Lytechinus pictus: one gene and its partner. The main gene of each other region encodes a partner of the protein of the gene in region 2 in a complex. Links are inferred from orthologs where the notes say so. Each region holds a gene or a part of one and is shown on either strand. Other genes may lie near its edges.

Evidence for each region.
Region 1: AT-rich interactive domain-containing protein 2-like (region 2) and protein polybromo-1-like share a complex: the UniProt entries of both Homo sapiens proteins name them as parts of the SWI/SNF-B (PBAF) chromatin remodeling complex. The link is inferred for Lytechinus pictus from reciprocal best matches to the Homo sapiens genes ARID2 and PBRM1.

The regions. Positions count from the first base shown.
Region 1 is NC_087247.1:59,697,309-59,701,240, reverse strand, and holds the start of protein polybromo-1-like, read left to right. Parts: upstream 1-1,191; 5' UTR 1,192-1,207; coding exon 1,208-1,324; intron 1,325-2,375; coding exon 2,376-2,473; intron 2,474-3,265; coding exon 3,266-3,413; intron 3,414-3,932. UniProt on the Homo sapiens protein: Involved in transcriptional activation and repression of select genes by chromatin remodeling (alteration of DNA-nucleosome topology). Required for the stability of the SWI/SNF chromatin remodeling complex SWI/SNF-B (PBAF).
Region 2 is NC_087263.1:4,093,650-4,097,581, forward strand, and holds the start of AT-rich interactive domain-containing protein 2-like, read right to left. Parts: upstream 2,524-3,932; 5' UTR 2,443-2,523; coding exon 2,205-2,442; intron 96-2,204; coding exon 1-95. UniProt on the Homo sapiens protein: Involved in transcriptional activation and repression of select genes by chromatin remodeling (alteration of DNA-nucleosome topology). Required for the stability of the SWI/SNF chromatin remodeling complex SWI/SNF-B (PBAF).

The DNA of each region.
Region 1 (3,932 bases), on a different chromosome or scaffold from region 2:
AATTTTGGTGTAGAAGGGAGGGGTGTTACCTAAGGAGGAAATCTACCAAGTTTCATATAATATATCCTCTTTTCTGGGAAATGAGAAAAAAAATCATGTTTTTGGTAACTGACGTTACATACCCTATCACATACTTCATCAATATTTCTTTATCAGACAAATTAATTACTGGTGTTTCTTTCTAGATGGGATTTGATAAAGTGTTATAATAGCAAGCTAAGGCAAAGGGAAAACATGATCAAACCTGTTCTTTAAAAATCTGTCAAAACAAAATATGTATCAATATACCATTTTCAACACTAATTTGTATGCATACTTTGGCGGCCATTTTGAAATAAAAAATGGCTGCCAGAGTCGGAAAAAAAAATTGTCCCAGAAACTTCAGGTCTTGTATTATTATAAAACATAATTCATTTGACATGAATATCAATTTGATTTTTTTGCCTCTGTGTCCATCTGTGGTGAAAATGCCCTAATGATCATCAAGAAACACATAAACTTTGCCGTAGATTTTATTACTTTATTTTAAGTTCTATATTTTTAGATGGTAATATATCAATCGATTGTCAAGAATACATGTTTTATAAGGCTTTTATAAATAATAATCTTCATCATGATTTCATTCAGATTAGTGTTTTCTTTTTCTCTCCGCAGATACAAATAAATTATTTACACCAGAAAATTAAATGTTTAATAGAGTTTGACTTTGATATTTTTTAGGCCTACTAGATCAACTACATCATAAAAATGTGTTTTTATTTGATTAATTGATTTAATAATTATACTGCATATATATATATATATATATATATATATATTATGTGCTCGCTAAGCCCCAGCGACACTCTTCTTTAAAAATGTATTTGGTATTCTCTGTTTGTCTTTTGTTCATCCTTCCTTTGTATACATTATATTTGTTGTGATTTGATATGTGCTTATATTGTAAATTGTTTTTACGTTTTTATGGAAATGTGGAAAAATACACCTTGAACTTTGAAATGTTAATGAAGGTGCATTTCCATATTTGCTCTTCACTGTTCTTCGTTGTTAATTATAAATCTTAGTCCTGGAACTTTTTCAAAATTTTGTTGTAAATTTGTTTATGCTCAAAATTTTTATTGGTAATCAGGATCCTCTGTGTTTTGATCTTTCAATATTTCTTTTGTTTTGTCTTACATGAAACAAAGAAGAATATATCTTAAGAAGTATGTCAAAGCGAAGAAGGTCAACCACTACTGATGTTAAAGATGATGATGATCTCCACACTTCTCCAACGTCTGTTGCTATCAAAAGAAGAAAGAGGTCCGTCAATGTCAATGATGCTGTAAGTATATGATTTCATCTTGAAGTATGATCTGTCAAAGCTTCATGGAGGTACGGATATTCTTTATTTAGTTTATTTGTTTCTTTGTTAACAATAACAATTTGATGAATATTTAATTGTTTGTTTCCAAAAGTGGAAGAGATGTCCGTGGCTATCTAGACTCATAAGCCCGTATTCTGAAGTAGAGTTTTACTTAGACCATGGTCCAACCCTGTAGTAATATTATGGGAAGCCAAAAATATTGTTTACATTGTATTTTTCTCATGTTTACCATGTTCTCTCTTAATTCTTTAATGGTGAAGGCAACTATGCTATTTACCCTCTCTGTTAAGAATGTTTTGAGAGTAAAATGAGCTAATAATTTGAACCTCTACTGTTTATGTCACATTTGTCTATCCATAGTTAAACCACAACTTAGACCAGAATACAGGTAATAGTCCCAATTCTCATGTCACATATTCATTTAATGACACACTTGCAGTCCAGCTGTTTGCAGTCTCACCTTTTTCCTCCTTTTCAATGTTTTTCCCGAAAGAATATCTTCCTTAAAATATCAAGATGGGAATATATTTTTTTCAGTCCTTCCACCCTTTATATAGAGTACCGTACTGGGAAGTGTCGCATAGCCAAATGCCTTTTCTGATGGCAGTCAAGGAAATTTGACATAAGAACAAACTTGATTTTTTCTCACCCAAAGTTTGCTTTAAATACTCAGGAAGTGTTCCTTTTTTAATGTCATTCAAGCTTGCTGTACAGCTTGTAAACTTAATATGAATATCCTTAAATTTATGGTTTATAGTGAGGTTCTCCTTTATAAGTTCATATTTAATGTAGTCCAATTTCATGGAAATGTGCTTTCCACCAGCATTACAAACATATGAAACACACATAGGATGCGAAAACATAGAAAAAAGATGGTGAACAATTATACAATACATTTAAAACAGACAAACAAAAGTATGATTATAAAGGAATTTATATTATTCATCCTACAAATGCGAAATTACAGCGTGAAAAATTTATATATTTGATTTTTTTTTTTAAAATACAGGGTGAAGTAATTCAGGAGTTATATGACATCATCAGAAACTACAAGAATGAAGATGGTAGAGTTATATGTGAAGCTCTTATCAGAATTCCCAAAAGGAGGTAAATATAATGAGTTCCTGATATTAAATTTATTATATCACTGGTTCTATCTTTTAGTGAAAGCGGTGAACATATCTGCAAATTAACTACATTGCTTTATAAGAAAAGGTTACATTTAATTTCTTTGAAAAATCCTCATTTTAATGTTGACTGTCTATTGACATGAACAGTTGTTTCGGTGTAGAAGAGCTTATTTAATTGTTTGATTTTGAAGTGTCTCAAGTTGTATAACAGTATATGGCCTGTTTTTTAAAGATAATTCATAATAGCGTTACCATGAATAAGACATTTGTGTGAAGTTCTCTTGGATTGAAACTAGAACAACTTTAAGATGAATGAGGGAACTGATGACAGCACTCACTCACTTTTTCTTTTGTATTTTATTATAAGAAATATGAAATACGTGTATTCTTATTTTCTCCTCTTTGTCCTGTGAAACAAAGTTTTATTTCTCACTGAACATGTGGAATTACCAATGTTTAACGTTATATGGTTCTGTCGAGTTGGTCCTTATTGTCAAATCTATAAAAATTGAAATATTGTATAATTCAAACAATAAAAAACAAGAAATAGTGAGTGAGGGACATCATCGATTTTCTCATTTGCATGTGACTAAATTTTGCATATAACTATTTTGTGAAAAATAAGCCAAACTTTGAAATGTCATAACTTTCTTATTTTACATCCGATTTTGATGAAATTTTCAGCATTATGCTTGTCTAATTTTTTTCTTTTGATTCAAATCAACATTTTTATGAGGTGGATGAGCATTTCATATGTCTATTTTGACAGGACTACACCAGAATATTATGAAGTGGTTTCTAACCCCATTGATATGCTGAAGATTCAGCAGCGTATGAAAACAGAAGAATACGACACAGTGGATGAAATGGTGGCTGATGTTGAGCTCATGGTTAATAATGCACAGGCTTACTATGAGGTAAGATATTTACATTTTACTGAAAACTAGATGAGAGTTTGTTAAATGAGATGTCAGAACTTCCCTTTCTGGATGATTTAAGAATTTGACAACTTGTTTATTTTGTTTTTTCCTTATATTAGGGTGATTGCATACACGGCTAAAACAAGTTTTAAAACCCTGCTTCCCACACAAAGCCCGATGCAACTTGTTTGTGCTCATGTGTTTCAGCTGTATTTATGTTGTACCACATTTATACTACAGACCATATTGCAGAACTTTTCAAAATTGATGTGGTTATTATTAAACTGGATAAATATTAATTTTGTGCTATTGTGCAACAAAAAATTCACAAAAATTCTCAAGGTCTCCATTCTTATATCCCATTGTTAGATTTTCATTAGGTAAAAAGGCTCTGAGAGGTATGAGAAAAAAATAAAGAAACTGAGTAATGTGTTTATACATTATTCAAGAATACATTTTGTCATACATCCTTGATTCTTGATCCGATATTCTGTGACAGTTTTCAGTACTGTACAA
Region 2 (3,932 bases):
TTTGTCACTGATGGTGTCATACCAGAACTGTACAAATTTTCTTCTCGTTTTCTCCACCCAGTCTTCTTCGTATAGCTTCCTCAAACTTCCAGGTCCTGAGAAAAAAATGAAACTCGTATCTTAACCCTAACTAGGCCGGGCTTTTTTGGCTGTTCTGTGGCCGGGGGGGGGGTTGATTCAACCCCCCCCTGAGATCTCGGCCACCGATCGCGCGAGCGCCACAAAAATTTGCACGCTGGTAGCGTGCGATGTAATCTACAAGGCTGTATGGTAAAATTTTCCAAAATAATGAGATTTTATTTTATATTAATTAATTATGCTAATTTATGCATAAATCATACTTTTTGCTCTAATTCACTAAATAAAGCTCCTAGAATGCTAATTTTTGGTAAAAATATTCTTTGTAGCATTCTTAACAATGGCAATTGAAAAAAACTTTGGTTTGGAAATCAATTTTTTATGTATTTTATTGTTTTATGAATTTCTTATGTATTTCTTTGTTTTTCAACCTTTTGTTTTTCTTTGTTTTTTTCACCAGATTTATTGCACAACCTTTTTGAAGCATACTTATGCTTAAGTCAATTGCTTTCAGCTGTTTAAAGTAAAAATAATCATATCTTTATGAATAAGATGAGAAAACTCAATTTGCATTGACTTTGTACACAAAATCACGTTTTGGAACAATTTTTGGTCTGACATGCACTTACAAAATGTTGCGTAATTTCGGAACCGCGTACCCGGGCGTCGTAAATTTGGTCTCAAAAGATGCGCGAGACTTAAAAGTATAAACTCTGCGAGTGGCGTGGTCAAAAAATTTCGCGCGGCGGAATGATCGCAGAAAATGTTGAGGGGGGGGTTGATTCAACCCCCCCCCCCGGCCATTTTAGGGTTAAAAGACCCAAATAAAAACTTGCTTTTAGAGGAAAAAGTAAAATCAGACAATTTGATAGGTGAAAGTTTGAACAATATCGGACAAACAATAGGAAAGTTATGAATTTTAAAAAGTTGTGAATATTGGTAATCACTATACCTGTGGAGATTTCAAATTGGCAACAAATGTGATGTCAAAGTGATGTAAGGCAAGGACTACTCTTCCATGTACTCCAATACATAAAATGACTAAAATTGATTTTTTTTTTCAAATGTTTTACCTCAAATTATATTTTTCTTTCATGAGGACATAAAACAATATACTACCTAGGCTATATTTAGATTACAGCCCCAGGGGAATAGGTACTTGGGAGAAAACCACAAATCCCTGATAATAAAGTACATGGCCTATGGGAAAGTTGTCCTTGCCTCTTGTCATAATTTACTTACCCAGCTGCCAATTTGAAATCTACATAGTCTTAGAGATCTCAATTTTAAAACAGCCATAACTTTCTTATTGCTTGTCCGATTTCTTTCAAACTTTCACCATTCTGTTTTATTTATTTTTCTCCTTTCAAACACAACATATTATGACCAGGACTGGATTCTCCTTTAAGGAGGCCAGGGTCCCGTGTCACAAACGATAGCGAGTGATTTTCACAAACAATTGTACATTGTGGTCTATGCAATCAATTCTCCCCAAATCACTTTATAAAACACTTCCCAGGGCCAGGGGCCATCTAACACAAAGCATAGTGCTTAATCATAGGAATTTTTTCTGCTTCATTACAATCAATCAACCATCTAAATCATCTATATGATAAATCGGTTAACTTCCAATTGATCCAATGCCACTTCGTCCAATTCTCAACTCGTCTACCATCATTTGGCTACAATTAGTTTGTCCAATATCCACATGGTCTAGTTTCCATTCCATCCACTCGCCATTTCTTTTAATAGCCACTTGGTCTAATAGCCATTTAGTCCATATACCATCTGGTCTAATTGGACTAAGTGTTAATTGGGTGAAATAAATGAAAATAAAATGGGTAGCAGACCAACTGGTTAGGAGACGAAATAGTCATAGAGGAATTGGTGATTAGACGAAGCGATGATTGGACCAAATGGTTATTAGACCAAATGGCTGTTGACGAAATGTTGATGGAAGGAATGGCATTAGACTATATGAAGATAGACCGTGTGATGAGTGGACGAGTTGGCAATAGATAAATTACTAAGCTTTGTGATATGGGTCTTGGAATAAACTTTTCTTTCACTAAAACCATTTAAAAGAAAAAAGAATCCCTGAAATATCAGGAGATCATCTCTAATACCTTCATAGAAGATGCCTGCATGTGCGAGCAGTAGGTCAATGAACATGGGTGCTTTCTCCAAGTGGATGACGTGCTTGCCTTCGTTGGAGAGCAGCGTGCAGATGTTGATGGCGAAGTCCACTTCGTTGGGGAGACCAGATTGGAGAGAATGGAGTATTCGGTCGTACTCTGACGTCCTGCATTTCTCCTTGGCAAAGCCATGTGTCTGTCTGATTTTGTCTGCATAAGAAGATATCATTTTCACAATGACAGTTTCTCAAACCAACTTGCTTTGAATTACAGTACATTTGCTATCAATTGAAAGTGTCTTTACATTGATTCAAATAATTTAAGACAGTTAAAAATGATCAAAAATAAAATAAAAACCTAAGACTTTTTAAGATGAAATAACCCCTTTACTACTGTATCACAACCCTGTCAGAAAAGGATGAAAATAAATAGTGAGATGAGAAAAACGTATACTGAAGGTTAAAACTAGAAGTTGTTGCAGGAATAATAAGCATATTATACATAGCAAAGAGTACCAGAGGCCGTTCTCATTACGCTTTCTAAAACTAGCTTACTGGAAACCGATTCAGGAAACCACTTTGGAAGATCGCTTTGCTAGCGTTCCCACTTGATCACACGAAAGTGGCTTTCAAAATCACTTTACGTAAAGCGCTCTTGTTGCTATGAAAACGCTCTCAGAGGGGTGACATGTTTCGCGCGAAATTTGAAACCGCAGCATTGGCATTCTACACCTGTCGTGTGGAGTAGCGCGCTCAAAATGTGCGAAGATCGCTTCCCGAAGAATGGTTGTGTCCTCACTTACGCTAAAACCAGTTTAACGAGGCAAAGCGATCTTGAAAACTACATCGCGAGGTGGTTTTCCAAACCGGTTTGGAAGATCGCTTCGACCGTTCTCACTACGCGTTAAACTAGTTTCCACTAAACTAGTTTTAGGAACGTAGTGTGAACAGCCTCCCAGTTAAGGGATGTTGAGGGGCTTGTATTGTAAAAAAACAGTAACAATTTTATATTCATAACCTCTGTACAGCAGGAACATTAATTTATAGATTTCAACAAAAAAATAATTCCTTCTTTTTATCAAATCACACCTTTTTTTTGTCTGGCATTTCCTAGAACCTTCACTTAAAGGGATGGTCCGGGCTGAAAGTATTTATAGCTTAATAAATAGAGTAGAATTCACTGAGCAAAATGCCGAAAATTTCATCAAAATCGGATAACAGATAACAAAGTTATTGAATTTCAAAGTTTCGCAATATTTTGTGAAAACAGTCGTCATGAATATTCATTAGGTCGGCCGACGTCACATCCCCACTTGTTCTTTTGTATGTCATTATATGAAATTAGGTTTATTCAATTTTTTTCCTCCAAGAACTAGAAAAATTGGATTGACAACTGATTTAGTGCATTAGATATTTATTGCTGCAACTTATTTCATTATAAGGGAGACATATTATTCACACAAGTATGAAATAATGAAAAAAAAATGATTTTATGTAATAACATAAGAAAACGGAAAGTGGAGATGTGACATCATTAGCCCACCTAATGAATATTCATGACGACTGTTTTCACAAGATATTGCTAAAATTAAAACTTCAATAACTTTATTTTTTCTTATCCGTTTTTGATGAAATTTTTTGGAATTTTGCTCAGTGAATTCTACTCAATGTATTAAGATACAAATATTTTCAGCCCGGACCATCCCTTTAATTCCTTTAC